Astyanax mexicanus: one gene and its partners. The protein of the gene in region 3 binds, or shares a complex with, the protein of the main gene of each other region. Links are inferred from orthologs where the notes say so. Each region holds a gene or a part of one and is shown on either strand. Other genes may lie near its edges. The genes, in order: snrpd3l, rnf113a, gpkow and snip1.

Evidence for each region.
Region 1: gpkow (region 3) and snrpd3l share a complex: the UniProt entries of both Homo sapiens proteins name them as parts of the minor spliceosome. The link is inferred for Astyanax mexicanus from reciprocal best matches to the Homo sapiens genes GPKOW and SNRPD3.
Region 2: gpkow (region 3) and rnf113a share a complex: the UniProt entries of both Homo sapiens proteins name them as parts of the minor spliceosome. The link is inferred for Astyanax mexicanus from reciprocal best matches to the Homo sapiens genes GPKOW and RNF113A.
Region 4: gpkow (region 3) and snip1 share a complex: the UniProt entries of both Homo sapiens proteins name them as parts of the minor spliceosome. The link is inferred for Astyanax mexicanus from reciprocal best matches to the Homo sapiens genes GPKOW and SNIP1.

What each region holds. Positions count from the first base shown.
Region 1 is NC_064424.1:38,883,393-38,891,078, forward strand, and holds the start of snrpd3l (small nuclear ribonucleoprotein D3 polypeptide, like), read left to right. Parts: upstream 1-4,678; 5' UTR 4,679-4,800; intron 4,801-6,669; 5' UTR 6,670-6,680; coding exon 6,681-6,806; intron 6,807-7,443; coding exon 7,444-7,636; intron 7,637-7,686. UniProt on the Homo sapiens protein: Plays a role in pre-mRNA splicing as a core component of the spliceosomal U1, U2, U4 and U5 small nuclear ribonucleoproteins (snRNPs), the building blocks of the spliceosome.
Region 2 is NC_064426.1:20,936,922-20,944,003, reverse strand, and holds the start of rnf113a (E3 ubiquitin-protein ligase RNF113A), read right to left. Parts: upstream 3,011-7,082; 5' UTR 2,976-3,010; coding exon 2,873-2,975; intron 2,494-2,872; coding exon 2,414-2,493; intron 1,575-2,413; coding exon 1,476-1,574; intron 377-1,475; coding exon 269-376; intron 1-268. Other genes in the region: snrnp70 (U1 small nuclear ribonucleoprotein 70 kDa), read left to right, coding at 5,608-5,754, 6,937-6,999. UniProt on the Homo sapiens protein: Required for pre-mRNA splicing as component of the spliceosome. As a component of the minor spliceosome, involved in the splicing of U12-type introns in pre-mRNAs. E3 ubiquitin-protein ligase that catalyzes the transfer of ubiquitin onto target proteins.
Region 3 is NC_064419.1:20,705,910-20,713,038, forward strand, and holds the start of gpkow (G-patch domain and KOW motifs-containing protein), read left to right. Parts: upstream 1-4,119; 5' UTR 4,120-4,147; coding exon 4,148-4,329; intron 4,330-4,849; coding exon 4,850-5,022; intron 5,023-5,699; coding exon 5,700-5,839; intron 5,840-7,129. Other genes in the region: membrane-associated guanylate kinase, WW and PDZ domain-containing protein 3, read right to left, coding at 1,336-1,418. UniProt on the Homo sapiens protein: RNA-binding protein involved in pre-mRNA splicing. As a component of the minor spliceosome, involved in the splicing of U12-type introns in pre-mRNAs.
Region 4 is NC_064413.1:32,223,597-32,230,729, forward strand, and holds the start of snip1 (smad nuclear-interacting protein 1), read left to right. Parts: upstream 1-4,116; 5' UTR 4,117-4,262; coding exon 4,263-4,423; intron 4,424-5,159; coding exon 5,160-5,289; intron 5,290-5,658; coding exon 5,659-6,182; intron 6,183-6,711; coding exon 6,712-6,970; 3' UTR 6,971-7,133. Other genes in the region: dnali1 (axonemal dynein light intermediate polypeptide 1), read right to left, coding at 1-40, 750-914, 1,036-1,211, 1,997-2,166, 2,257-2,378, 3,196-3,276. UniProt on the Homo sapiens protein: Required for pre-mRNA splicing as component of the spliceosome. As a component of the minor spliceosome, involved in the splicing of U12-type introns in pre-mRNAs. Down-regulates NF-kappa-B signaling by competing with RELA for CREBBP/EP300 binding.

The DNA of each region.
Region 1 (7,686 bases), on a different chromosome or scaffold from region 3:
AAGAAAAACACATGGAGTTTTTAAGTAAACAAACCAGATAATGTTTTATACTTTAGATTCTTTAAAGTAGCACCTCTTGCTAAGATGTTAGTTTTGCACAATTTGGCATTTTCAGTCAGAGGTAGAGTTGGTATACAGTGAATAGAATTTGAGTAATGTTCTAAGAAGTAAAGGTCAGTCAATCCAAAACATTGAAAGTATCCTCAAGTGCAGTCACAAAGACTTTTCAGACTGCTCTAGGAACGGAAAAGCAAGAGTTAGGTTATCAGAGTTACTAAGTTACCAGCAAGTTAACACAAGGTATACCTTGTGTTAACTTGCTGGTAACTTAGTAACTCTGATAAGCACAGTGTGTGTGTGCGTGCGCGCGTGCGTGCATGTATAACATTGAAACATTAAAAACTTTATACAGGAATGTTAAAATTTCAACACTAACTGATAAATATTAGGAATGAATATAATGTTAAATAAATATTTGATGTTATTTTACTCTGCAGATGCCAAGTGTTCCCATTTACTTTTATCACAAGGTTTTTCCTGCATTAAATAGATTAATTAAACCTCTCAGTATTGATATTGGTAAAGGAATCAGCATCGGTATTAATCTACTCTAAACCCTAAAAAAATAAGACCCATGGTATTGATATTCTCTTAAAGCAGTGTTTCAGTATTTGAATGTAAACAGTTCAGCAGCGCCCTCTGCTGCTCATACAGCAGAAGTGTTATCAGCACCAGACAGTGACTGCACGGGCCGCTAGAGGGAGCCCAATAATAGAGAGTCCAATAATAATGGGAGTAAACGGAGCTAAACGGTCAAAACTTAAATTAAAATATTGAATATTTATCTGGCCGGGTTATTCATTTCATTTTAAACTACACTGATGTATAGCAAATAAAACATACCTATATATTTCAGTTTTTCTTCAGTGCCATGAGCTGAGTTGGTTTAATAAATCCGAAATCGCATACTTAAACTGTAGAGTTCTGGACTGTTTCGGGGTGAGGACGCACTTCTCGCCCGGTAAAGCAGAACGCTCTTTTCAGTACACGACTACGCAGCTGCTGCTGTTGTTGTTATAAAAGGGTAAAATGCAGACCTTAATTAATATATATTAATGTGAAAAATACTACCATTTACATATAAAGTAGGTCAGGTAGGTTCATATTTAATCGTTTATAATTTCCTCTTATATAAGTAATACACAGTATTCAGTGCTTATGACTTATTTAGAGTTTGTACATATATATACAGTACAGTGGCGTGAAAAAGTATTTGCCCCTTACACCCTTTCTTTTTATTAAGGAAAAAAGAACTATCCAAACCAGTCTGGCCCTATGTGAAAAAGTGTTTGCCCCCCATTAATGAACTGCAATTAATCACACTTTTTGGAAAGCTGTATCATTTAAATACTAACCACAACCAGGCCTGATTACTGCCAGACCTGTAGAAACAAGAAATCAATTAAATAGAACCCGTCTAACAACATTAACCAGATAAAATATCTAAAAAATTATACATATACAGTCATACATATATCACATAATGTCCCAATCTGAAGAAACTCAAAAACAGATGAGAAAACAAAGTCATTGATCACCTATCAGTCTGGAAAAGGTTATAAAGTCATTTCCAAAGCTTTGGGAGAAAAAATGGAACACTAGTGAACCTTTCCAGGAGAAACAAACTGACCAAAATTATTCCAAAAGGGCATGGCCAACTTATCCAGGAAGTCACAAAAGAACATTACTACACCCTTCTCAAAAATCAGGAGATGGGGCACGCAGTCACGTGGGGGCAGAAGACATTTTAAAAAGTTTTATTGTTCAGTACCGCTGTAAGAAAGACTCTGGCATTGAATCTTAGCCCCGCCCCCTTCACGTGCAGTTTGGTCTAGTTCTACTGCTGTTTAGTTTTACTCTGTTGCTCCAGGCAAATTACCACTTCAGGTTGGCTAGATCACAGCCTCAAGAGAATAGCATGTGAGGAGTTGTGTGCGTGTATTCCAACCAAACCACACACCATTGAGACTCTTGCACATGTAATTGAAGTGTGAAGTTTAATAAAGAAACGAAAAGGAGACAACTGCTTCATGGTGTTCTAACCGACACCCCCCATACAACACTCATCCCATCATCAGAACCCACACATACAGTCCTTTAGTGGTCCTCACCAACAACCGCTTTTAGTCAGATAAGAGTCCTGTAGCAACTGAAAAACAAAGACTAATGCTTTGAATTAGTTGCTGTTTTTTATTTTAGTTAATTTATAAAAGAAATTCTTACACCTACAATAGCTATGATATATATTTTATGATTAAATTATGTAATTATTTGCATGAATTTATTGTCACCTCTTCTCTGAAGGGTTAGAAGCGCCTCACTGCACACCATTGAAAAATTGTCTTTAGGCCAATTCTGGTGCATTTACAGTAATGTAAATTAATGTAAACTGTCCCTGTTAAATAAACTATTTAAAAAATGGTATACGTTTTTACTGTTTTCTAAAGCCTTCTGAATTTTCTTTAAAAACACTACATAACTATTACACTGAGATCTACTTTTCTTTCCATATATTATATTATGTTGCGAAATGCACTAAACAATTAAAGCTGTGTAAATGAGCATGATGTTGAATTTATTTCCAAGAACAAAGAACAGAAAAGCTGGTCTGCAAATAAAAAAACAAAGTTCTAAAGGTTATGTGTGATTCATCTTCAGTGTCTAAAAAATGTACTTTTCTGTGTCTGAAGAACAGACTTTTGAATAATGCACAGTTTAATCCCATTATTCATTTAGTGCTACACAATACATCTGTAACATGCCAGTATGGTTTGTGAATACTTAAATTTTTTTTTATCTCAATTTAATAACACTCATGTCATCTCTGTTTCACTCATAAACTATTTTTTTAAACACCAGAAGTAAGCAAACAGCGCAATCATCGCGAGATCCGCTATTGTTCACGTTGGTCGCAGGTGGAGACTGTCCGACCTGACTTCTCTATGGTGGCTCTGAGGTGCAAAACAAATAAACATTTCAGAAAAGTAAATTACAAAATTACAAATTTACATACGAAAAATAATTACATTCAAGAATACTAAATTACCAAAGAAAAAAATATTTTACATGGGCAAAAAAAAAAAAACATTACATTTCAGAAAAACAAATTTCCAAAAATTGAAACAAATTTTCAAGACGCAAAACACTTTTACCAGAACTGAAACACTTTTACAAACTGTGATTTCTGACTAAAAGGGAGGGTCTAACACACAGGTAGTCAGGGGCTGATCTAGCCATTTTAGGGCCCTAGGCAAAATAAAAACAAGGGGCCCTCATTCTTGAAACATACACACATAAACCAAATAACTAGAGATGAAACGATCGATCGGCAGTGTATCGGTATCAGACAATTTTCAGCCAAAATACGGTATCGGCGATCGGCTTAAGCAGTTTATCAGAGCTGTGTGTGGATGAAACTGGTGAAACCGGTGAAACTGCTCGCTTACAGGAAGCTGCAGTTCCTTTACACACAAGTTATATCTCTCCTAAAAAGCGTTTATTTTGGTCAGTCACACTTGTGTTTATTTACTAGCAGCGTAAATTACCAGTGTTTGCTTTAGGCGTGGATGTAATTAGGGGAATCTGTACCAGGTTTGCCAGGCACCTGTGTGTCATTAATGTGGCATTTGGCCCCGCCCAAAATCGGTATCGACGATCGGCCCATCGTGGTAAAAGACGATCAGCGATCGGAATCGGCCCCAAAAACACTGATCGGTCCAGGAGGTGTAAAAAAAAAGGTCAGTTTTGGCAGTGCATCTTTGATTCTTTTGCTCTCTGCCCGTTTCTTTCGTTTAGCAGAACCACTTTCATAACTCCGCTTCATTTTCACTGTGACAGCCCTCACTCTAGTCGCGTACAGTTCCCGCTGTTTTGGTTTGAAGTCACGTTGTGTGGCACATTGCTACGTCATCATATTATGGACTAGTTCAATGCAAGCAAGGGAGGGGGGTATGTGTGTTTGGACAATTATTATTTAGACATTAATTCGGTATTCTACTGATATTTTTAATATAAATATTTTGTTCTTTTCTTTACATAAGTAACAACTTAACATTGTTTTTGTGTATTTACTGTTGCTGGGATGGTCAGATTTGGGGGCCACTATGGAGGACAGATTTGATCTACGCCCTAGGCAAATGCCTAGGTTTGCCTAATTAAAGAACCGCCTCTGCAGGTAGTGCTTGTTGCGGACCCTCCGAGAGAGAGTCGAGTTATGGACAAAACAAATTATATATATATATATAATGTTTTTTGGCATGCATTTTAGGAGCAGCAGTAATTGTCTTTGTTGCTACTGCCCAGCGGGGTTCAGCTGCTGTACTGTCCTGTCCTGTCCGCGGGGCAGTGGCTGAGCATCATGTGGGGTGTTTCCGTCAGGAAATCGCAGTTTATAAAAGTGTTTCAGTGCTGGTAAAAGTGTTTCGTGTCTTCTTCACGAAACGCCCACCCCCCAGGTGGTGCAGGTGCAGCCGTACCTCAAACAAGCCTAACGAGAAACTGATTTATAGGACCCCATTCATTTGGACGGTATCTGAAACGTCTCCTGGTGGTTAACAAACCTCCTCCCTGACCACACGCCCACGGTCGTTCTTAACTACCATTCATTCCCACAATGCAGTGCTGAAGTGCCCGGATGTGAGGCGGTGTATTTGAGGTGCATTGTGGGAGCGGGAGAACGCTGCTCGGACGCGCACGCTGCTTTAGAGCGGGTACAAAGACTTCCTCAGCGCAAAGACTCCGGTACAGAAATATCCTTTATATCATTGTTTTACCCGGTTTAATCCTGTTACTCTGTATCTGTGGGTAAAGCCGAGTTTATACAGGCTTTATTAACTGTAAATGTGCAGCAGAGAATCGCTGATTTATTGCTCTTTCTGTACTGTTAGCCTGTTAGCTTTAGCTACTGAAGCTAAACTCTAAGCCTAAAACAGGAAAATTTATATCTACATCTAAACCACCTTTGTATTCCCTACACCCTTAAACATACCTCTACTTCGGGCTTTATCGGCTGTAGTTATTGGATAGTATTGTCTGTTTCCGGGAGAATATATGCTGTATAGTTAGAGGTGTGTTTAGCTCAGATGCTAAATATAATACTCAGCTCTCCCCAGATACAGACAAACTTTACCAACATCTGTTAACTGCTCTAATTATACCACTACTAAATAACTATAATCAAACGGTATTAATTATGATAATGACTTACAATAATCTTTCAGATTGACTAAATCTTCCCTTAACATGTAAGATAAAGAGTAGAAATGCACCGATGTGTGAGTTCTGTGCTAATGACGATTTCCAATATTACAAACCTAACTTAAACATGCCGATGTCGATATACACATTTATAACGTAAAGACTACACATCCCTGTATAAATTTAAAAGCGAGCTTATACCCGTATGTTTTAGCTTTTAACCAACAATAAAATGAAAGGTGCAGATGACTCTTAAACAACAAAAAAAAACATTTATTTACTTATACCGACAAAAACCTCGCCTGGTGTGACCCGCAGCATATCGTACAGAGTATAAAATCGTACTTTTTATTCATAATTTATACAAAACAATCTTGGTAATTTAGTTTTTTACTAAATCCAGTAGTTTTTAATTTTAATAATTGGTCAGATTGTTTATGCTTCTGCTGAATGTCTGAACCCTTTTATATTTACATGAAATAAAACATTTGCAGTTGTCTGTTCTTGAAAATAATAAAATAAGGTTTAGTATTTCAGTGTTATAATGTATTTGTACAAAAGAAAATCCCTGAAATATTGGTATCTCCTATCCCTAGCCCAAACCATGTATTTGCTAGAAAATTCCAGTTCTTAAAACTAGAGTTCATTTTATGATCAATGAAAGCTTTATTAAATAGGTATGCACATATTAAATGTAATGGTTGTGGATTAATGGTTTCCTGAATCTGTAGTTGAGTGAAAGTTAAAGCTTGAGTAAATGGTTCAACCAGTTGTTGGTGATAAAGGTTGATGTCTGTTGTACAGAAGTGCATCACTGCTCTTCTCTGGAAAGGGTGTAATATTTGGCTTAGTTTGATTTTTTTTTTGGCATTGCTAAATGCCATTCTGTAAGTTTATTATTATTTTTTTTATAATTGTGGGCCAGTAATGTATTTGTGCTGTCTTTGTTGGTTTATTGTCTGATGGAATGGAGCTAACATGGCTGAAAAATACTTCATCAAATATGTTTAAAACTGTTTTCTTAACTCCACTAAAAGCTAAAGATGCAAACTTAAGATTCTAGACATATTGTATGTAGTGCTGAGTGTTTATGGCCTAAAAAAAGATTTTTTTCACACAAAAAAAAGATTTTTGATTTATGTTTGATTATTTCTCCCTACTAAAATCAAACTACAGATGGCAAAGAAATGGTTCAAAACTAGGTTTACATGTAAAGAAAAAAATAGTTTAAGAAATATATGCGTGCGTTTTGTAAATTGCCTTAAAACTAATTGGAATTAACTGAATTAATCAGGAAAAATCGCACAGCGCTAACTACGTTGTGCTGAGCTGGACTAAATTGTTTCGCAAATTCTCTCTTTTGATCTGTTACTGAAGTCCTTCCTGTGGTGACCCCCTTTCTTTTTACTGCAGATATCTGAACAATGTCGATCGGTGTACCAATCAAAGTGCTTCATGAAGCGGAGGGTCACATTGTGACCTGTGAAACCAATACTGGTGAGGTGTACAGGGGGAAACTGATAGAAGCTGAAGATAATATGAACTGCCAGGTAATGTCTGCACTGTTTGTCATGTAGTTATTTTGTTTCCAATTGAAAAGTTTTGTTTTGTTTGTGTTTTGGGTAAACTTATTGCTTGTAACCAAGTTTCAGCTGTCCCATCTGTTATGCCCAAGTTGCCAGCCCCACCTCCACTCTTGACAATGTAAATAAACTTCTTTACTAGGAGTGGAACAAAAGATTGGTATTAGTGTTTTATAGTTTGCATACATAATACATTGATACATGGCATCAAATATGGATATTTTCTATTGAAACAAGGGTCCTCTATACTCCCTAAGACTTCCTTTAGATCTGTGAAACTAACACCCATAAACACATTCCTGGTATTTGCTTATTTAGGAGTATTTAATCCTCTTCAGTTACACAGATGTTGAGAATTCTTTTGCAGTATATAGTGTTGCAGAATCACAGTATCATAATGCAACGTGAGATGCCCTGTACTTTCCACACTGTAGGTGTATCTGAGCAAGTGGACCTATAATACAGTTGTTTAAACTGGCAACTTGTGTATGTAGTTGTAGGGGTAACTGCATTGCACAGTTTTCTGTTCTTCCTGTCTTTCTTTTTCTGTGTATTAATTAAAATAATGTTTGCATTAATGAATACTAATGCCTTTGGATTTTAGATGTCGAATATTACTGTGACGTACCGAGATGGCAGAGTGTCGCAGCTGGAGCAGGTCTACATTCGCGGCAGCAAAATCCGCTTCCTCATCCTACCGGATATGTTGAAAAACGCTCCAATGTTAAAGAGCATGAAAAATAAGAATCAAGGAGCAGGGGCTGGGAGAGGCAAGGCAGCTATTCTTAAAGCACAAGGTATGGCACTGCATAATCGTAGTTGATTGTATACAGTTTTCTGATACTCA
Region 2 (7,082 bases), on a different chromosome or scaffold from region 3:
TCTTGATTATATTCCAGAGGTTTTCAATTTCAATTTTTTTCAACTCATCATTTTTAAGTGGTCTCTTATTTCCAGAGCTGCATATCTTTAAAAAATCTTTAAATATCATGGTACAATCAATACCTTTTCCCCATATCGCCCAGCTCTATAAACTCTATAAACTGATTTACAATAGCATACATATCATGCACAGGAGCATAACAGATGAAGAGAATTTTTTGTGAAATTAACTACAAATTCAGTTATCACTGACAGATTTGTTCCTCACCTCCTGAATTTTCTGGCTGCGCTCAAAGATGGCCTGAGCGTCTTTGTCTTTTTCTGTGTCCAGTGCATACACAGCTGTTGCCCCCATGTCCTCTGGCCCTTCAGGTTTCTGTTTCACATATAAAAATCAGCCCATCAGCAAAGTTTAAACAGAATTAAAAAGGAAGAAGAAGAAGAAGAAGAAGAAATCATCATCATAATAACTGCTCATGTAAAAACGCAGGTTGAATGCATTAGAATATAATAAAACAATAATATGAATAACATACCATTTTAAAAAAAGCATTAAGGATTAGATTTTCCATAGTAACTCTGACAGCACTGGCAGCTCTTGAGAGCAGAGCATAAGGCTGTAATTATATTTTAATTATTTGGTACCTCATGGAAATCTATGTGGGAGTTTGCATTAAAATCTACCCACTTCCATTCCCCCACTCCCTTTTCCACACTCAGGGTTGTGAAATGGAAATGGACAGGCTGGTTACTTTTTTGGCTGAACTGAGTTCTAGTAAGGTTGCTAAGCATATTTACCACCACCACTAGAGTAGTATAGATGGGCATTTAGAACAATGAAACAAATGTATACATGTGCTGATTAGCTAAACAGTGAGACTCGTCGACAATTGTTCTTGCAACCCGCGCGAGCTCAACATTTGGGAAAGAGAGGGTGGGGCAGAAAACTCTCTCCAATGTTTGAAAATTGAACTCCTGAAGCTATTTCACACTAGGGGTGGGCAATATTATATCGTATACAATATATCCTGACACAGAAATATCATGATATTAAAAATACATATCGTGATAATAGGGCTGTTCTGTCTTAAAAGAAGTCTATTATTTACTGTGAAGCTTAAGGTGTATTTATTGTATAATTGTTTTAGTTTGCAGTTTATATGCATGCTCTAAATATTCTGCAATAATATTTGCAGCATCATATTATTTTATGCTATATAATTTATTTTGCCACATTATGATTATTCTGTTATACTATTATACTATATTCCTGAAATGAATGAATTATTTTAGTTTTCCTATATCGCCAAGTATATCGTTATCGTAAAAATACTCTGAAATATCATGATATTATTTTAGAGCCATATCGCCCACCCCAATTTCACACACTCGTTTCCATTTATTACTGATTGTTCCTTTGAACACAAAAAAGAGCAATTAAACATAATACTGATTCTTGGGGCAGGTTTTCTTACCGCTGAGCGGGTGGATTTATAAGCCACTGTGATCTTTTTGGCTTCTTTGTCTTCTTCACTTTCACTTGATGAGACGGCTTCCCGCTCCACCTTCTTTGTCTGAAACAGGGATTTTGGTTGGTTAATGAACTAAAACCATAAAATATAGACAGGACTTGCAAAGCAGAGTCACAAAAATAATAAAGCAAATAGAAAACACACTAATTAACAAAATAAATTACTAACACACACTGTATTGTTAAAACATTAGATATGCTGTTATATCTAAGGCAGATATGTAAATGAAAAATGCACTGTCTGTCGTTATGAAATTTTTGGCATTACCCAAAGACCTAGCCCTAGACAAATATGCGACAACCTGTTTTGATGAAGATTTTATTATTTTTTGGTGAATGATGATTCTGGTTTCTGGTTAATGAGCCGAGTTAGGTTCCTAAGAGCCATTTTATTGGAACTTTGTGCTGAGTTGGGCACAGATTCATAGAGGCCAATGTTACAGAACCAGGCACAAAAAATAACGCATTTAGAGGTGTTAACAATGTAACCAGAAATCACCAGGTAATGAAGAAAACGTTAAAATAGGAGAGAAGAGAGTTCAGGAGGGGCAGGAACAGATATGAGTAAGTAATTTTTTTTGCTACTTATGTTACTATTAAATGTTCCTAACTGGGATACAGAACTGTTATAAAGGAACTAATAAAACACTAATGTCACAATATTATTAATTACTTTAAGATAAACAGCAATACTGATAATAAATCCCTTAAATAAAAAAAATACTAAGTCGTAACCTCACGGTTGTTTTGCCATTTGCTTCAAACATATATTTTGGGCTAGTTTAAGCTTTTGAAGGGCGGGTTTTAGACTGATTTAGGCTGGATATTTGTGTTGGACCTGGCAACGTTGTATTCCATAAAGACCTGGATTAGTGCACTCACCCTCTGGAACATGGGGTTCGCAGAGACGGGTTTCTTCTCTCTTCTGACCACGGCGTTCTTCTCCTCATCACTGCTTCTGTCTGACACAGGGAGCAGAGTTACTGAGCCTGATTCTCTGGAGTAAACTCTATATTCAGACCAAACACTGACTAAAACCGAGGATATAAATATGGAGCTGCGTCTTAATTCTATCTCTCATTCCACCTTAAACAGAGCGGTGGTTCTGTTCTAGCTCTAAGTTACCCGTCCGGACTTTACAGATAAATAAACACAATATAAAGATATATTCATAATAATTTACAGTCTTTAGGCTGCGCTGTCCGCGGAGGAACAGAACACATAACGTTACATATGAAATACTCAATCTTCGCCTCCTCCTCAGCATTTATTACTTGTATTATAACAGATTTAACCCCTCTACACTCACTAAAATAGTAAAAACCGCCTAATAAAGTTTACCTTTGTCGCTGTCGCTGGCTTTTCTCTTCCGAGCTGAAAACTTCTTACTGGATTTTTTGAACAAAAACGTGCAGGTCGCTTTAGTCTCCTCGGATTCCGCCATCTTTAACTAATGAAAATAAACTACACTCAGAGACAGAAGAGCAGCTACAGCTTTAACACAGCGCCTCTCGCCGCCTGGAGAGGAACTGCACGGATATACGACAGCGGATTCACAGCAGCAGTTTCAGGCCTGTGGCAGCGCTATACCTACTGTAACTTTATCCAGGTTTATACACTTTTTAACCAATACATTTTCAGGACTTTTTCATGTCTCCAAGGCAAATTGTCATGTCTATACAATCTTTAAAACATCAGTGCGGACAATACAATCAAAAATCAACTAAAACTATAAATAAAAAAAAAGTAATGTTCACACAATTTATGATAATAATAATAAAATGTGTGTCAGATCCTGAGAGCTTCATTGTGTAAGGCTATTATACAGAACTAACTCTGAGCTGATATATTTGTTAGCTCAAAATAGCTTTTCTCAGTCGATAAATGAAAACACACATATGTAGCCTGCAAATTTTAATTTTACCAAACCTTTCTGGGTATTTCTAGTTTTCCAAAACCTATCCAGGCATGGAAACTGCTATTTTAAATACCATAAATTTTTTAAGGGTTGACTAGATAGAGCCTGGCTTCTAGGCTGGCAGCTGCTAGACAGGAGGAGGAGGAGGAGGAGCAGGATGAAGAAGAAGTGCCATCGCATGAGTGGAGGTCAGGAAGATAAGATAATATAGTATAAAAATATAAAAATCGTTAAGAAAGCAAGAAAAAAAATAAGAGACCACTTCAGTTTCTCAATATGTGTCTCTGATTTTACTATTTATATGTGAATGTTTAAATAAAATGTTGTTTTATACTATAAACTATGGATATTTCTCCCAAATTCCAAATACAAATATTGTCATTAAGAGCATTTATTTGCAGAAAATGAGAAATGGCTGAAATAACAAAAAAGATGCAGAACTTTCAGACCTCAACTAATGCAAAGCAAACAAGTTCATACTCAAAAAGTTTTAAGAGTTCAGAAATCAATATTTGGTGGAATAACCGTAGTTATTTAATCACAGTTTTCATGCATCTTGGCATGTTCTCCTCCACCTGTCTTACACACTGCTTTTGGATAACTTTATGCTATGCCTGGTGCAAAAATTATAGTTGTTTGGCTTGGTTTGATGGCTTGTGATCATTCATCTTTCTCTTGATTATAATCCAGGGGTTGTTAATTAGGTAAAATCAAAGAAACTCTTCATTTTTAAATGGTCTCTTATTTTTTATATTTTATAATTTAATGATACAATACATACATATGTACAAATAAACAGTTTATGTAATTGTTTTATAAATAAAAATACAAGACATGCCGCACATGCAATTACAACATATACAATTTAAGGTACTGAACACATAATAAAGATAAAATACGTCTCACTGAAAAAATAAATACAGAAACATCGTGTGCCAATTTAGGGGCAGGATTCTTCCAATACGGCCTCTGAAGGGTGCATCCCCTGAATTGGGACACACTGATACCTTCTGACGTTGCCAAGTAATGCCGCCAACTGTGAACTACTGTCGTAAACAATGCCCCTTCATGAATTGTAGCGATTTACGGCGTGGCGCCATTTTGAGAGAGCGCGCAGCGCGGAGAGGAGCTGGAGAACTGAGCAGTAACGAAACTAGTGAAAGCGACCAGTACAGACTGGTGTTACAGTAACAGTCTACACTGGGAGGCTCTGTGGGAGCTGCTGAAGTCGTTATTTTGCGGAGCTCGGAGATTCTGCGCGGATTGGATGCGGAGCTGAGGTAATTTAATGTCCGACACGAGGCCTCGGAGAAAGCGGGCTGTGCTCCAATACGCGCTCTTGTGAACTAAATTCTAGAAAGCTTTGGGAGTGGGCACGTTTGGCTAGAATTTTTTTTATTTAATTATATTTTGTTTTAGTTAAGCGGAGTAGGTGCGTGTGGTCTTCATGATGTGGCTTATAAAGTGTATGTTTGCTAGTTTAAGTTAAAAAGAGTATTAGTTGGAACCGAGTTAGCGTTAGCTAAGTGCAGACTAGTAAGGGACCTTGGTCGAGGGCGCACCTTTTGCTCGCTTATTTAAACATGGCTAGCTGCTAGCTAGCACAACCAAGCCCTATGCGCTACGCTAGCTACCACACACATAGGTTATTTAGCTAACATATATAGGTTTCAGCGTCAGTTTGGTACTCTTTATGGATTTACACTAAATGTAGGTTTGTATTGGTGGATTAATTTATCTTAATTAATTGAGTAAATAATTTAAATTTATCCATGTAGATTAAATGTGTTGTGTTAGCTAGCTTAGCTTGCTTGTATTGAGTTTTGTAATGCTAAGCTAGCTGGCTAGCGCTAATTTACTATCTTAATGTTGTGTGTGTCTAATGAGCCAAACTGGGTTCTGAATTGATACTTTTACCTCACAGGAATTGGGTTGTTTACTTCTCTGATAGTGTTGATTTTACTTGTCTGGTCTCTGTAGTCTCTTTGTGGCCCATACCTTTATCAAGCAGTGGGTCTCAGACCCTGTTCTTTAGAGTTTGACGTTTTTAGTTTCTTTGTGAATTCCTTGCTGGCCTAATCTACAATGTAATGACATTTAATCGTAATATTGTGTAATATTGTTAAATGGCCATTTCTCTGCTCTGTTTAGGTGAACAATGACTCAGTTTCTGCCCCCAAACCTGCTGGCCTTGTTTGCCCCGCGGGACCCCATTCCGTTTCTGCCACAGTTGGAGAAGCTGCCCCATGAAAAACACCACAACCAGCCGTACTCTGGGATCGCTCCCTTCATCAAGCACTTCGAGGTATGAATTAGTAAAATTGCATGTTATGCCACACTTGTAGGTACTTAATGTTATGTAAGTACACTTGTAGGTAACTTTATGTAGTGTGAACACTTATGCCAGGTTCACACTACCCTGTTTTAGTCCAGTTTTTCAGTCACCAACAGTTTTTTGTTGACTGCTGACAAAAAGTCTGCTCAGAGCCAAATCAGGGATCTCTCAGCACTTGCACAGTTGTGTAACATGAATTAGACTCACAGCAAGTATTTGGCATGCTAGATATCTGACCCAGTCTGCGACTGGGAGTCAGGAGCAGCGGCTACATACTGGCAATGAAATCATGGAGAAAGAGAAAACCATTGGTCCAAAACACATCCCTGCGTTATTCACACTACACGACTTGTTGTTGAGACACTACACAACTGAATGTCTACACCGGATCTCAAACAGCAAATTTTTTTGCTGTGGGAAATCACAGACTTACCTGGCTGCTTTCCAGAAACACGTTTCCTTTCGTGCGCACCCGGACTAAACACACATGAGAACTAGCGATGCCATGCCAGAGAATCTCCATAGAGGAGAAAACACACTTGCAATGTGTCGAACATGAATATGTTCATATTAAGCAACTGAGCAAAATCAGACTTTAAAAATTTCTTTTTTTATTTATTTATTTTTATTTTTTTTATAACTGTCTTCAACACGGATCTATTAATCAAATGTTTCAGTACAGCAGACATAAATTTTAAGCCTTTTAAATGTGCACTACCTGTATATCGAGGCTCAGCTTGCCAACCAATCAGCTCACAGTACCAGTAATGCTAGTGCTTTTGCAGTGTAAAAGCTTTTTTTCTGTAGATAAACTAAAATATATAGGCAAGCTTTCTTTGCTTTTACTGAAATTAAAGAAGTACTCAGAACAAGTAGTAAATTATTATTTTTAATTTGAAGGTTTAGCATTTAGCTCCATTTACTATATACAAAACCACTAGTCATTAGAGGTATTGCCGTATTATTAATATTTATTAGGATCTTAACATATAAATCTTTTTACCTATTTTTAAAAACCTTAGCTCCTCATCAACTAGAGAGATTCCTCTGTGATAAGTTGTAAATCAACTGTAATGGTTTTGTACAGGTCATTAATTAATTTTATTTTAATCTTGTGTTGCGTTTTTAATCTTTATCCTTCCTTTCAATCAGGACCCTAGAGATGCACCGCCACCCACAAGAGCCGAAACGCGCGAGGAGAGGTTGGAGAGAAAGGTGAGAATATTGTGATGTTTTTATATGATAGAAAAAAAGCTTAACAAGGACTAGTGAGACACATTGTCTGTGTTTTCTGGCAT
Region 3 (7,129 bases):
ATCACCATTACCAGACCACTGCATTCACAAGTATTGTATGTGAGATATAGCTAGTAAACTGATGAATAACCGCTTCGATACACAGAGGGCATTATTACAATTACAATATTGGTGTTGGATCAGTGACCTGGTAGTACATTAAATATACAGCTCTAGATAAAATCAAGAGACCACTTCAGTTTCTGAATTAGTTTCTCTGAAACTAATATAGGTATATGGTTGACTAAAATGAACATTGTTGTTTTATTCTATAAACTGTGGACAACATTTTTCCCAAATAAAATGATTGTCAAGTAAAGCATGTATTTGCAGAAAATAAGAAATGGCTGAAATGATAAAAAAGATGCAGAGCTTTCAGACCTTAAATAATGCAAAGATAACAAGTTAATGTTTACAAAGTTTTTATAGTCCAGAAATCAATATTTGGTGGAATAACCTTTTCTTTTTAATCACAAGTTTTTATATATCTTGGCATGTTCTCCTCCACCAGTCTTACACACTGCTTTTGGATAACTTTATGCCACACCTGGTGCAAAAATGTAAGTTTGTACTGACTAGAGAGGAATGATACAACACAACAGAATGTCCAGTTTAGCTTGGTTTGATGGCTTGTGATCCATCCATCTTTCTCTTGATTATATTCCGGAGGTCTTCAATTTGGTAAAATGAGAGAAACTCAGAATTTTTACGTGGTCTCTTATTTTCTTCCAGAGCTGTGTATCGCTTTAGCATCAACATGTGTACATGCTCAATACTCACATCACAGGATGTCAGGACGATCTGAACATAAAGCTTGTTTAATACACAAGGACATGCTGCTCTGTTTTCCATGATATCAGAGGTAGAGGTAGATTATATCTGCCTAGTAGTATTCATTTTACTCCACTCTTCGGTACGCAGAGATAATTATTACAATTACAACATTGGTGTTGGATCAATGAACTGGTAGTGCCTAAACTAGACAAACTAAATCTAGTTGTTTTTAATACAGCTTATAACTTAGCTGTGAAGGTTGTAATTAATGTAAAATTTATTTTCATTTGAATACCTGTGTCCAGTAATAGCACAAATAACTATAATTCGATAAAACATGAGCTAATAACTATAATAACTTGTTAGCATAATTCGGTGTATTTGAGTCACTTTATTCTGAGAGAAAAGTGTAGAAAGTTGTAATTTTGCCGTTTAGATCATATATCTTAACTAACCTAGCTACCACTACCATCTACCACTCTCACACACACACATTCACTTTCTCTCTCTCTCTCCCTCTCACACACAGACACACACACACACACACCCTCACGTAGTACCAGTATTTAAATTAAAACTCACCTGCATGGCCTCTGGCACACACACATTCTCCTCAGGCAGCTCAGCCGTTGAAAAAGAGCCCGTTTAAACGCGTCTATATACATCGACCCCGAACTAGACTTGACCCCTAAGCGGTCAAAAAGGGGGAAAATCGGGTTTGTGTCGAAGAAAACGCCTAAAAATCACGAGAAGTCTTCGCTACAAAAGGCTGGTCAGCGGCGGTCTGCTGGAAACGACCGTGGATAACTTTTAACCGCCATAGAAGTGAGCGGTCGGTCGCTCGCTCGCGCTGCGTGTCAGTGAGAGAGTGAGTGCGCGCGAGCGAGCGCGTGCGGAGAGCGAGATGCGCGAGGGACGCTGGCCAGCTGAGCACGAGACCGTCAGAGTGATCTGACAGCAGAAAAAAAGCGTTTAAACGCTCCAGACTCTCCGACAAACAGAAAGAGAGAGAGAGAGAGAGAGAGAGAGAGAGAGAGAGAGAGAGAGGGGCAGGGTGGCAGTGGTGGGCAGCGATACACGCTATCAGAAACACTCGAAGATAAATCCTATACTGAGCTTTAAACACAGCAGCAGCCCGCCGGTACCCTCCTGTCCTCAACCACATCTTCATCGACCGACTTTCGCACTCTTTCACACTGTCAGACACACACACACACTGTCACACACATTGTTACACTGTCACTGACCCCCGTCCGGCTCAGCCTTCAGTCTTACCTTCAGGTCTTGCTCCCTCCTCAGCATGCTGTCAGTCTGTCCCCCGGGGCTGAAACTGGCCTTATTTAACTCTCCACTCTCACCGCTCCGTCTCCTCTGAGGACACGGGACGCTTACATGATCCTCCCGGCGCCCGAGGACGCAGCTCGGTTAGCTGTAGCCTGAAGCGGCGAGGTGTTGAGGCTGTGAAACTCGGGAAACCGTGTCGGGGACGTCCGAAGGGTCTCACAGCTCCGGTGTAGCCGCGGCATGCTGCGACCCTCCCGGTGTTCAATACAAAAAAAGAAAAGGCTGAGCTCACAGTCGCATAGTGGAATATCCCTCAGGACCCAAAACAGTAGTCAGGATCAAGAAGCGATACCGGTAGAGGCAGAGAGCAGAGGGGTGGAGGGGAGGGAAAAGAAGTAATAAGGTAGAAGATCCGCCCCTATAGTGTAACAACGCGTCAGGTACTTTAGCAGTTTCATTGAAATTGCTGAGCTGCACAGAAACAAAGCTGTAAATACAAGGCAAATGTATGAAAGTGAAAAAAACGCGGTGAGCGTAAAGCATATCAGCAATGCTCTCTTGGCTTAAGGCAAAAGTGGACAATTTGGCCAAACCAAACACCTGAATCAGGATCAGCAGGTTTCAGGTGTTCCCGAGTCACACAGTATGGGCTCTGAATCACTCTCTGATTCACTCTGTTTTCTGTCACGTATGATCTTAAATTTATGAATCCTCAGCACCTGTATTTGTTTCTACACAAATCTACCTATACATAAATCAGAGAATATTTATGCATATATACATCATTCTGCCTTACTCAGAAACAGATCACACTCACATTTACTGTTTACTGTTATTGACAAGCATTAATACAACACAACAATACACTAATTAATCGTAATAAATAACGATTTAGATCTTGCATCTCATAGTTTATAAAACGTGCCTTAGAATGCATGTTTTAGTGTTTTAAAGTGTTTTAAGCATTACTCAAGATTTAAGCTCAAGTCTCCCGGAAGTTGCGGGAGTCTACCACATATCAATAACGGCTCCCTGATGCCTGCAAGTCAGATAAAATCTCCCGGTATTTAGAACTAGTGGCCCAAGAGTGAACACAAATGTGCACACGGGCCCCCAATCATGTGTATGAAGCAACTAAATTACATTGTTTGGAATGGGGCTGTCGGGCTAAGTTTAGGTTTTAGCCTAGCAAACTTACAATTTTGTGTTTTTACTCTTTTACACCTCTCTTAATGTCCCTTCCCCGCCACAGTGTGGAAGATGGCTGTGTCAGAAAACTAACCATCAAAATAATAAAAATGAGAAATTATTAACTGTGTTGTAATCCTGGACTAAACACTATTGTATGTCAATTTTGAGTGTGAGGAAATGTTAAGGGTTTGGGAATTGTGCAGATATTTTGTTTGATGTTCATTTCTAAGAATCATGGTGTGTAACAAACCTTTAATATTTAACTATGGCAAAATACAGTTTTCTGTTCTGTGGCACCTTTAAGCTCAGTCAATGTTGTAACTGTTTGTTTCCTGTGTTATTGCCATTTATCATATTAATTTAGCATTTCTTCAGTTGAATGTCAAACAAAAACTCAGTTGGTCTATTTATCATAAAAAGCAAAAATGTCCAAAATGAACATACTTGGATTTCTTTGGTGTTTTTCTTCTCTTTATAATATTGGGCTTTAGTATTATTTGACTACATGTTCCTAAAGCAAATTTAAATACTGCCATTTGGAAAAGATATCCAACATTTAATGTTTAACAAATGTAGGCATTTTAAAATGTCAACAGCGACTGTCACACACATCTATATTTTTGCTATATTTAAATGTATAATTCGTCTGTATTATTATGTATTCTATATGTATCGGGGTTAGGCACGGGACATACATTGTATTTTGGGATTTGTTTCTTTTTCTTTTAAACTTTAGTTCAACTTTGAAATAAAAGAGAAAATGTCCTGGATTTTTTTATTTTAGGTGGCTGGAATGGCCTTCCATGGTTTTCAGTCTTTTTAATTCCCACAATTGTTTTTTTTCCCACGCATCAGAACGACATACTAAACTAAAACTACATTTCCCAGCATCACTTGCGCGCACACCCACACATCAAACATGGCTTCGCCGGAGAGGCAACGAGAAGCGGAGGCTAATGCGGTCCCTGTAAATATAGAGAGCGGAGAAAGGAAAGCGGGCCCTATTTCTTTTGGGTTTAGTAAAACTCTCACTAAGATTAAGTCTGAGAAGCCCGTGGAGAGAGATTATGTGGTGGAGGTGGATGGAAAGGAGCTGAAAGGGTAGGTTAATGCTATAAGCTAACTGGTTAATGCTAACTGACTGGAGCATATAGTGCCGGTTAGCCAGGTGCTAATAACTCCAGCTCTGCTGATTCTGATGCTAATACTCAGCTAAACGGGTTTACCAAACATAGTAAAGCCGACTTAACTGGTGCGTCTTACAAAAAAAACGTTCAGCTTTTTTGTAGATTGCTGTCGTTTAGACCAGAGTTTCCTAGACCAGGTAATGGAGGACCCCCATACATGCACGTTTCGGTGTTTACCTTGTTTCCAAAGTATCTAATCCAGCTAGGTACTAAAGTCAGTTACCAAGGTGTTCATCATTTAAAGATTGTTAGTCCTTAAAACCACTAGCTAACCTGCTGGGCAGAAGGTCTTCCTAAACCAGGGTTGGAAACCTCCAGTAACCTACATTTTAACCTACATTATTTTGTGTGACTTTTTTTGTGTGATTTAACCTACAGTGCTTTGTGTGAAGTTTGTAGATGTTACTAAATGTTTGATATAAAATCTTGTGTAGAACGACGCCAGTGGAGAAACCATCAGAGTTGATTATTCCACTTATCCAGAAGAACCGCTGGTACCGAGAAGAAGGAGGAGGAAAAAAGAATGACAAAGGACCCAACAAAGACATCTCTGCATCTGAGAACCAGGACTCTGTGGAGTCTCAGGCTGTCAAAGAGCTTATTGAAGGTGTGTTTATGCTCTTGTTAGTTTGTTTTCTTTGCTATTTTATGCATTGGAGTTGTAACCATACTAGTGCATCTAAAACAAAATAGAATATCATTAAAAAGGTACTTTTATTTTAGTAAACTCTTCTAATATATATATGTTTAAGCATTTATTTCATTTGTTGTTGATGATTATGGCTTACAGCCAATGAAGACCCAAAAATCAATATCTCAGAAAATTAGAATATTATATAAGACCAATTGGTACTTTTGGCAGTGTGGGCAGTATACCAAGTCCTGCTGTAAAATGTCAGCAGAGGGAAGCATAAAGACTTTCTAGGAAAACACTGCACTGACTTTGGACTTAATATAACAGTAGACCCACACCAGCAGATGACATCCATAACTGATTGTGGAAACGTCCCGCTAGACCTCCAGCAGATTGGACTGTGTGTCTCTCCGCTCTTCCTCCAGACTTTGGTCTCTTGATTTCCAAATTAAATGTAAAATTTACTGATGGTCAAAGATGGTTTGGAGAGCCATGTCATCTGCAGTGTAAAAATCGTAAAAAGAAAGAAAACACATTGAGGAAAAATGACGTATGACCAAATGTTTGACTCTTACTCTATGTTAACAAAATCAAACAGCATCATATCAGCACTGACCCACACATTCCTGTAATTTTTTTTCGTCCCACAGAGTCTCAGAAGCAACAGGAGAGGTGGAAAAATGGCACTCAGATTGACCCAAACCTCACAATCCCTCTGCTCATGCAGAATCAGGTCCCTGAGGGCTTTGAGGACGGCGATCAAATCAAAGTGGATCTCAGACCTGAGTCGGTGAGTCGGGAGTGGCGGAAAGTAGTTAATAAAAACTGGACTAATTGTCTAAATCATTTAAACCTGCTCACAGGGGGCTCGGTTTGTCACATCTCGTCAAGCTATTGTCATAGAAGAATAAGGTGCTGCCACAAGGATTTGAATTCGGGTCGAATACCAGATCTTACTGCTTGCCATCAGCAGCCACTGTCCAAGAAAGCACAATTGACCTTGCTCTCTCTGGGTTGGTATATGGCTCTCCCTTACATTACCCTTAATCTGGTGTTGGTAGGTAGCTGTTGGATCAGAGCTGGATCGTTGAACTTTCCTCAGAGCTTGCTGGATAGCCAGTGATGCTTTGGATGTGTTGGAGGAGGCATTTGCAAGTCTATGCTTTTTAGTGTTGGGGGCATTGCTAGTGACGGGAGGAGTTACATGTACAGGGATTGGATAATTGGCTATCTAAATTGATGAGAAAAATGGGCTAAATTTTTTAAATAAATTACAGTATTTTTCACACTATAAGGTACAGCAGATTATAAGGCACACTGTATTATAAGGCATATTTTAAGATACAATATAAGGAACCTATAGGGTAGCTTACTAAGGTAAGTAAAGCTAAACTAAGTAAACAACACTATTTAAATATAAAAAGTCAAATTTCAATCTAAAAACTGTTTATTTGGCTGAGTAAATCGCTTTCAACAGTTAGCTTAGCTTCCCAAAATTTCTCCAGGACTAAGGCTGGAGCATTAGCATTAGCGGCTATAACAGCAGTGCTAGCTGGGGTTAGTAGCAGGGTACAGGCCTTTAAACGGGGAAATAGCGGGAAGCAGCTAATGCTACTGCTACTTCAGTCCAGATGCTGGACTGAAACTAAAACTAAACTAAAACTTCTGAATAATACTGCAATACGGCGGAGTGGCTTTACTGCTCCTTACAACCTTAAAATCTACACACAAGGTGCACTGGATTAAAAGGAGCACTGACGATTTCTGGGAAAATTAAAGGATTTTAAGTGCGCCTTATAGTTCACAAAATGCGGTATAAAAAATAATAATTAACTTCACTGTAACAGTTTCTGAATTAGCATTCATTATTTTATAAAAAAAAAACATAGCATTAATGGTTAACAGAAGTATTTGGGTCAGTGTGTAATGCAGGAATCAGCTAAACTAGACCTTGGCTAGTTTTTGTGTCTGCTTTTATGTAAAAAAAAATCTGGCTGAGTAAGAGCAGTATGATGGACTGCATTTAGGAAATCTTGGCCCAGTGGTTCTCGTTCGTGGAGGACCACACATTTCCCTGCTC
Region 4 (7,133 bases), on a different chromosome or scaffold from region 3:
ATTTTCCTTTTTGGGGGGTGATGATTTCTTCCAGATGGGCCTAAAAAAATAAAAAATAAAAAAAAATTAGTGCTTATACAAAGTATTCACCTCCATGTTTTTCCCCTCTTTTGCTAGTATACACAAGTATAATGTATATATTGTCAATATAAATGTTAGTTTATACAATACAAGATAGTCGGTTAAATAAAACCATATACTGTAAAATAAGTGACTGTATAAATACTGACCCCTTTAAAACTACTGTACCTAATTTAACAGAGGTGCAATCAGTAGATGTTATTAATTTTAGAATTGGTGGAATGGAGATGACTTGAATGCAGTGAACGTTTAAACTAATATATATATACCTGTTTGTAAAGTCCAGTCACTTATAAATTAGTATTCCTGGCTACAAATATAACATCAAGACAAAATAACATTTCGTAGAAAAAAGGTTAACAAGTGAGGACTCGGGAGATGGATACAAATTACATCATTAAACAACCCTTAAACTTCGGTTAAATTTGTCATCATAAAACGTAACGAGTATGGCAAGTAAGAGACTACTTTTACATTCTATTCACATTGCTTTTTCATTTAATTTACATCACTGTGTGGAAATTACTTTTCCCTTTGACTATGTGTTTTCCTCATTTAAGTAAGAATAAAAATGAAAACCATCCAAAGGAGTGAATACTTTTAGGAACTGTACATTTCAGTGTCATACTAAGACAGCATAAGAAGCTGACTGATTGTCATGGATGTACCTTTAGTTGCTGGTTGGTGCGCTTGAGAAGCTGGACCTGTGCCGTGTGCTGTTTCTCTTCAACCTGTCGCCGCTCAGCTTCTTGCCTCTCGATTTCTTCACATTTAGCCTTCTGCTCATTTACCTGCCTTTCCAGATCCTTATTCTTGTTCTCTAAGTCTGCAATCTTAAAGTACAGCTCAGTTACGATTTTGTTTACAGATAAGATATACATAGTACATAGTCTCAGACTAAGGCATTTCAAATAAAATAAAAAATATATGAGAAAGGCAGACTGATGTACTTACTCTCTGCTTGCCTGAAGGCTCTTGCTCAGCCTGTAGGGCCTTCTTTATGCCAAAGGTCATACCGCTAGCATGCAGGGTCTGATAGACTGTGTTGGTCATACGTATCTCATCTCGCACTCGTAGAAGTAGCAACCCCCTCTCAGGACAGTTGATGCTAATCTGCCTGATTAACTCATCTAAAGGACAAATAATATGTTTTTAAATGAGCTGTGTGTTTACATGTCTTGCTATTGTGTATTTCACAAGATTGTGAACCTATGGCCCTAAAGTGATTAAAGAAAAACATTGAATAATATAGATCATAAATCATTCCTCACTTTCTGCTAGTAAAGTACAATGCCACAAGCAAAGCAATGCTTTCAAAAAAGTGGCCAATTGTAGGGTAAATGAAATTGTCTACATTTCATTCATTAAGATACAGTAAGTTATGATTGGAAGCAGATGTCTTAAGTGTTTAAAGCTTCTAAAAATTCACCACAAAAACTACATAAGATGGTTGTGAATAAGTTGTCTGAGCGAGGCCTGATAGTTGGTGCCAAATGGATGGGAAACTCCATTTTTAAAGTTATGCGCCCATATAGCATTCATTTGATCCAAAGTATCACTAGTGAAGAAATATCAGACAGAATTACTAGCCAATTCTAGCCAGATGCCTCCAGTCACTATCATTACCACCTTCAATGAACAGCGCAGTGCTTGGTAATGATTGTGATTGGCAGCATCTGGCTAGAATTGCCTTAATGAACAGATAAGCATCCATATCCATATTAAATGCATTAGACCCCATATGTATATACTGCACCTCAGAGCAGCGTTCTTTAGTATCCATGGGGCATGGAAAAAGACACAATACAAACCCTATGTCCCATGACATCTGGCATGCCAGTATACAGTGCTATCAGTGTCTAGTAACACGTGTACTGTATTAAAAATTCCTCTGGCTGCTGTTTTGTAAACTCACCAAAGCACTGTGAGTAGAGCTCACTGCGCACTGGGCAGATGCCTTTTTCTCTGGCCTGTCTCTGCTGCAGTTTCAGCTCCAGCTGCTCCTGCAGGTGAACCACATCCATCCGTGTGGCAGGAGTGCTGGACACCTGCTGAATCCAGCGCGTGTTGTTCTCTTTCCATTCCCTGCAATATCGGTGCTTATAACCGTTAAACATGAACACATTATGAAGAGCTGTTTTAGAAATAGAGCAGAAGAGGAAAGACATATCTTACCTTGGTGGCAGAATTGCATTGAGTATCTCTTCAGTTTCTGCAGGGGGAGACTTGGGTTTAGGTGGAGGCGGGACGGGCCCAGATAAAACCAGCTGCTGTGGACTCACTTTCAAAGGTCTAGCCTAGATTCGTTGTTTGTTTGATAGAAAAAAATATATAAATGGGATAGTTTATGTACTTACAGGCTCAAGCATGGGTTCAGTAAATATTTATATATTTTTAAATTGTCTTTTCCCACTTCCATTGAATGTTACTGTCATTCTATTAGATCACCACTTAAATAGCTACAACAGTGACAAATTATGTTTATCCATACAATTACATTAACCATCACAGAAATATTAGAAGAAATATTAATAACGTACATGAACATACTGGATCTAACATTATTTAAACCCTTCCAACAAAATCTAAATATTAGCTACTAAGTTAAGAATCAGTTAAAGTTATATTCTTTGCTATTGTTATTGTGAGCTGCCTCATAAAAAAAATGTAACTTTTAAGTCTATATATACACATATTTCAGTTTGTAGCATAAAAAAAGAAAATATAACTTCATAACCTAAATCATTATCATGAACATCATTCCATTTTTTTTACCGAATCACAAAAATATTAAATGCTCTAGAAATTATTTTACTACAGAACAGAATGAGCTCATCGACTCAAACGTAAAATTCAATGAATGAGTATAACTTTAACTAAATTATATAACAAAAAAATAAATTCATATATAAGTATTTGTTAATGTGTTAATATATATGTAGAAGTTAGTATTAGTAAAAGAATACCATTCTGCTGTAAATAAAAATCAGCAAAATGGGGTGTAAGTTACAGTTTTAGATAAAATGTATAGGTTATATAAGTCGTTTTTCAACAAAAGTCAAGACCTCCAATTTGTTACTTCGTTACTTAACTCAAAGGTTTCTTACAGCTTACCCTAGGTGATTTGTTGTCTGTGGTCGGTGTGATCAGCGCCGGAGTATCATACTTCAGCAGAGAGTCGGGGGGAGGTTCCATTTTTACAAAGTGAATTTTAAGTAAAAAAAAAAAGTTTCAGTAACGTTTCAGCTCAGAGGAAATTGAGTATGAGAACTGTTTACATTTACTATGGCAACCCTGGAGACCGTGTGAGAAAAAAAACAACAACCGGTGTTACAGCAAAATCCGGTACCTAGAGGGAGCTGTTTCCTGATATGTTTTTCAAATGAGAGTGCCTCACTCAGCTGTTAGTAAAAACTGTCCCAACATCAAATTCTTCGTTCATTTACAGCTTATGTTAAAACTAACACATGAATGGCTGGAGTGCACATAAGGGTTCGCTCTGACAACGCAGTTTAGACACTTTTGACAGATTTTACTAAAAATCCTTACAACATTTCATAGGCCTTGAATGGTTAGGGTTCTAAATCTACACTCACACCGATAATAAGTGAAAGGTGTACTTTTCTACACTGCAACAGCACAGTACAGGCTATACGAATATATTACAAACAAAGAAATACGTATTTAATGTAAGTAAAGTTGAATACAAACCATACGTATAAAACCATAACGCTGAATCAATTATGATTCAATGGAAAATCGATGTGCACAAATAATTGCATATTTTTGAGGAGATTATTTATGATTATTAAATTTGGCCAAAATTATTATTTATTAAAAAGAAGATTTACACATGTGGGTGGAAATGTATTATTATTTATATGTATTATTTTAATATCTGCCTTAAATCTACAGATACTGCGCAGATTTGAAACAACTGTAGCGGCAGGAGGGTGGTGTTTTGTTTGTGAACTGGATCAGCGTCTCCACCAGGTGGCGATGAAAGTTTCCACAGGGCGGAACTGAATTTCGGTTCCCGCAGGCAGGCCGGGCTGGTTTGTTGAGCGGACAGGGAGCAGATCTGGCAGCAGTGGAAGTTTGTGGTGAGGCATGTAGCTTTAATAAGCGCGGATTCTCAGTTTTAGCTCTATAAAGAGAACAGAGAACAGTCTGTGTTCGGGATGGACTCCAGGAAAAGAGACCGGCACTCCCCTGCGCGCGACGGGAAGATCAGAATTAAAGAGGAGAAAGTTAGTCCCGCTAGGCCGCGGATCGCGCGCCGCTCCAGCTCACAGTCCAGCGGCGCGAGCAGCAGCAGCCCCCCGAGGAGACACGACCACCGGTCAGCCACACTCTATTCTACTATACTCGCTTTCTGCTTAACACACACTGTCTGCCTCTCTCTCTCTGTTAATCTATCTGGTAGTAGTAATTACTAGAAGCAGCAGTAGTAGTAGAAGTAATAGCAATAGTGGTAGAAGCTGTAGTTGTAGAAGTAGCAGTAGTAGCTGAAGCTAATGATAGTAGCTTGTAGTAATAATACTAATTAAACTAGTAATAATAATAGCAATATTTTAGTGTCACTAGAAGGAGTGTTGGAAATTCGGTTAACGTAGTAGTGATAAACACAATAGTCTAATGAGAAAAAGAAAAAGAAGCAGGTTATGTGGACAGAATAAACAAACCTGTGTAACTTATAGCATGGTTTGGTAATATGGCCGTAAAATAATATCATGATATTTCGGGGTATTTTTGTGATAATTATATTGGTGGTTTGACAAGATATGTAATTTAAAAACATTTCAAGTATAAACTACTGCAATAAATGAATATTACAGTTTATATGGGGATACTTTTGTATACAATATGATATGTAGCACCTGTAACTTCAGATTGTAACAGATGTCAATGATCCAACATATCATGCTACTAATAATGCACTCCTTATATCTAGGATTGTCCAGAAGTAAAATAAATTATGATGGACAGATATAATCTCCTGGTCTCTTCTTGCTAAGTATGTTGTTCAATATCTCAACAATCTAATTATTGCCACACATTTTGTTTTCTTTAAACAGAGGAAAAGACAGATCTCCGGGAAGAAAGGACAGATCATCAGGACAGCAGCGGGACAGGGAAAGGGACAGGTCCCCCCGAGGCCAGCGAAGTCGCAGTCCATACCGCAGTTCTGATGTTCGGATAAAGCGGGTGATTCAAACTGCAAGATAGAATGATCATAATTCATTTGGTATTGGACTGGGTGGTATGACCTCACAGTATAGATCATGAGTTTTGTTTGTATATATATAGCATTTAATGGTCCCACCACACAAAGCAGCCCTAAAACATGCAACCAAATCTGTATCAAAACAATGTACTATTTGCAACTTGTTTTCCAGGTTTATTTCCAGCCTTTCATGCAAATAATAATAATATTTATTTAGATCATGGGTTTGCTAATTGCAGAAACACAATTTAACCCATTTTTTTTTGTTTTTCTAATTATGCTTTAGGGAGTAGATAAGTGATGCTGATTTTTTTATACATACTAAGCATAATCTGTGTTTTCTCCTTCAGGAAAAAGATGATCATCGTGAAAGAGGAAATAGGCCTGATGAACGTCGGGGTAGGAGGGAGGAAGAGCGTCAAAGAGGGCCGGAGCGACGGAGAGAGAGGTCTCGTGAACGGGAAGCACGTCTGCAACAGCAAGCAGAAAGGGAACAAAACAATGAGCGTCGCAGAGAAAACCGTCTCCGGCAGGAGGCAGAGGGCGGAAATGAGATGCATGAGTTTGATGGCACAGAGGGAGATGATGTGTCTGGACCTGCTGTTGAGAAAGAGAAGCCCAACTTTGAACTCTCAGGTGCTTTGGTGGAAGACACCAACACATTTCGAGGAGTTGTTATTAAGTACAACGAGCCACCGGAGGCCCGAATCCCAAAGAGGAGATGGCGACTGTACCCTTTTAAGAATGATGAGCCACTTCCAGTCATGTACATCCACAGACAGAGTGCATATCTCCTTGGAAGACAAAGAAAGATTGCCGACATACCTATTGATCACCCCTCCTGTTCAAAACAGCATGCTGTGTTTCAGTACAGGTAAGGATGCTTTAAAGAAATAGGTGTATGTGCCTGTTCATTTTACTGTACTGGCATTGGCAGCCTTTTTTCTTTCTTTCTACCTTTTTGAGAAATTGGAGGCACCGCATTGACTAAAACACACGTCAATATTTAAAAAATCCGGTTAAGTCACCCCATTTGTCCAAACTTTTCTTTTTAACTGACCAATAAACTGAAAAAAAAAACATTACTTAAATTGGATTGTGATTTTTATTTTTTAAGACAATGTAAATAAAACACTTTTATGGCAGATTCGTTAATTATTTTTTTTTTAACTAATGTCTCACCTGCATCCCCCCTGCAATTCCATGTGATAAGAAAAGGCTATTTGAAAAGACAAAAACTTTGAGAAATAATGAAAAAAAAAAATTGATAAGCTCAACTTGTTTTGTTATGGCTTTTGTAGCCTGGAGTCCCATACAGTATAATTTTTCAAAAGTAGCGTGTAAATCCTCATGAATTTGTGATATGATTTATTAATGTAATACCTGTTGTTTGTTATCTCCAGGTTGGTGGAGCACAAACGAGCTGATGGTACCACAGGCAGGAGAGTAAAGCCGTACATTATTGACCTTGGTTCAGGCAATGGAACATACCTGAACAACCAGCGTATTGAATCACAGCGGTACTACGAGCTCAAGGAGAAAGATGTGCTGAAATTTGGATTCAGCAGCCGCGAGTATGTGCTCCTGCATGAATTCTCAGACACCGCTGAAGTTGATTCCAAACAGGAGCTTGATGAGGAGGATGAAGGGCTTGATGAGTAGTCACCACTCAAAGTTCACCAAAGTACTTTTGTTGTGTGGGACTCTTTAAAGGAGCCCTGAATCAATGATCAAGATCGCTGTGATTGACCCAGAATTTAATGGGTTGTTCTTTTATTAATGATTTTGACATTACTATTATGTTGTGGACAAGGTCTGTAAAAAC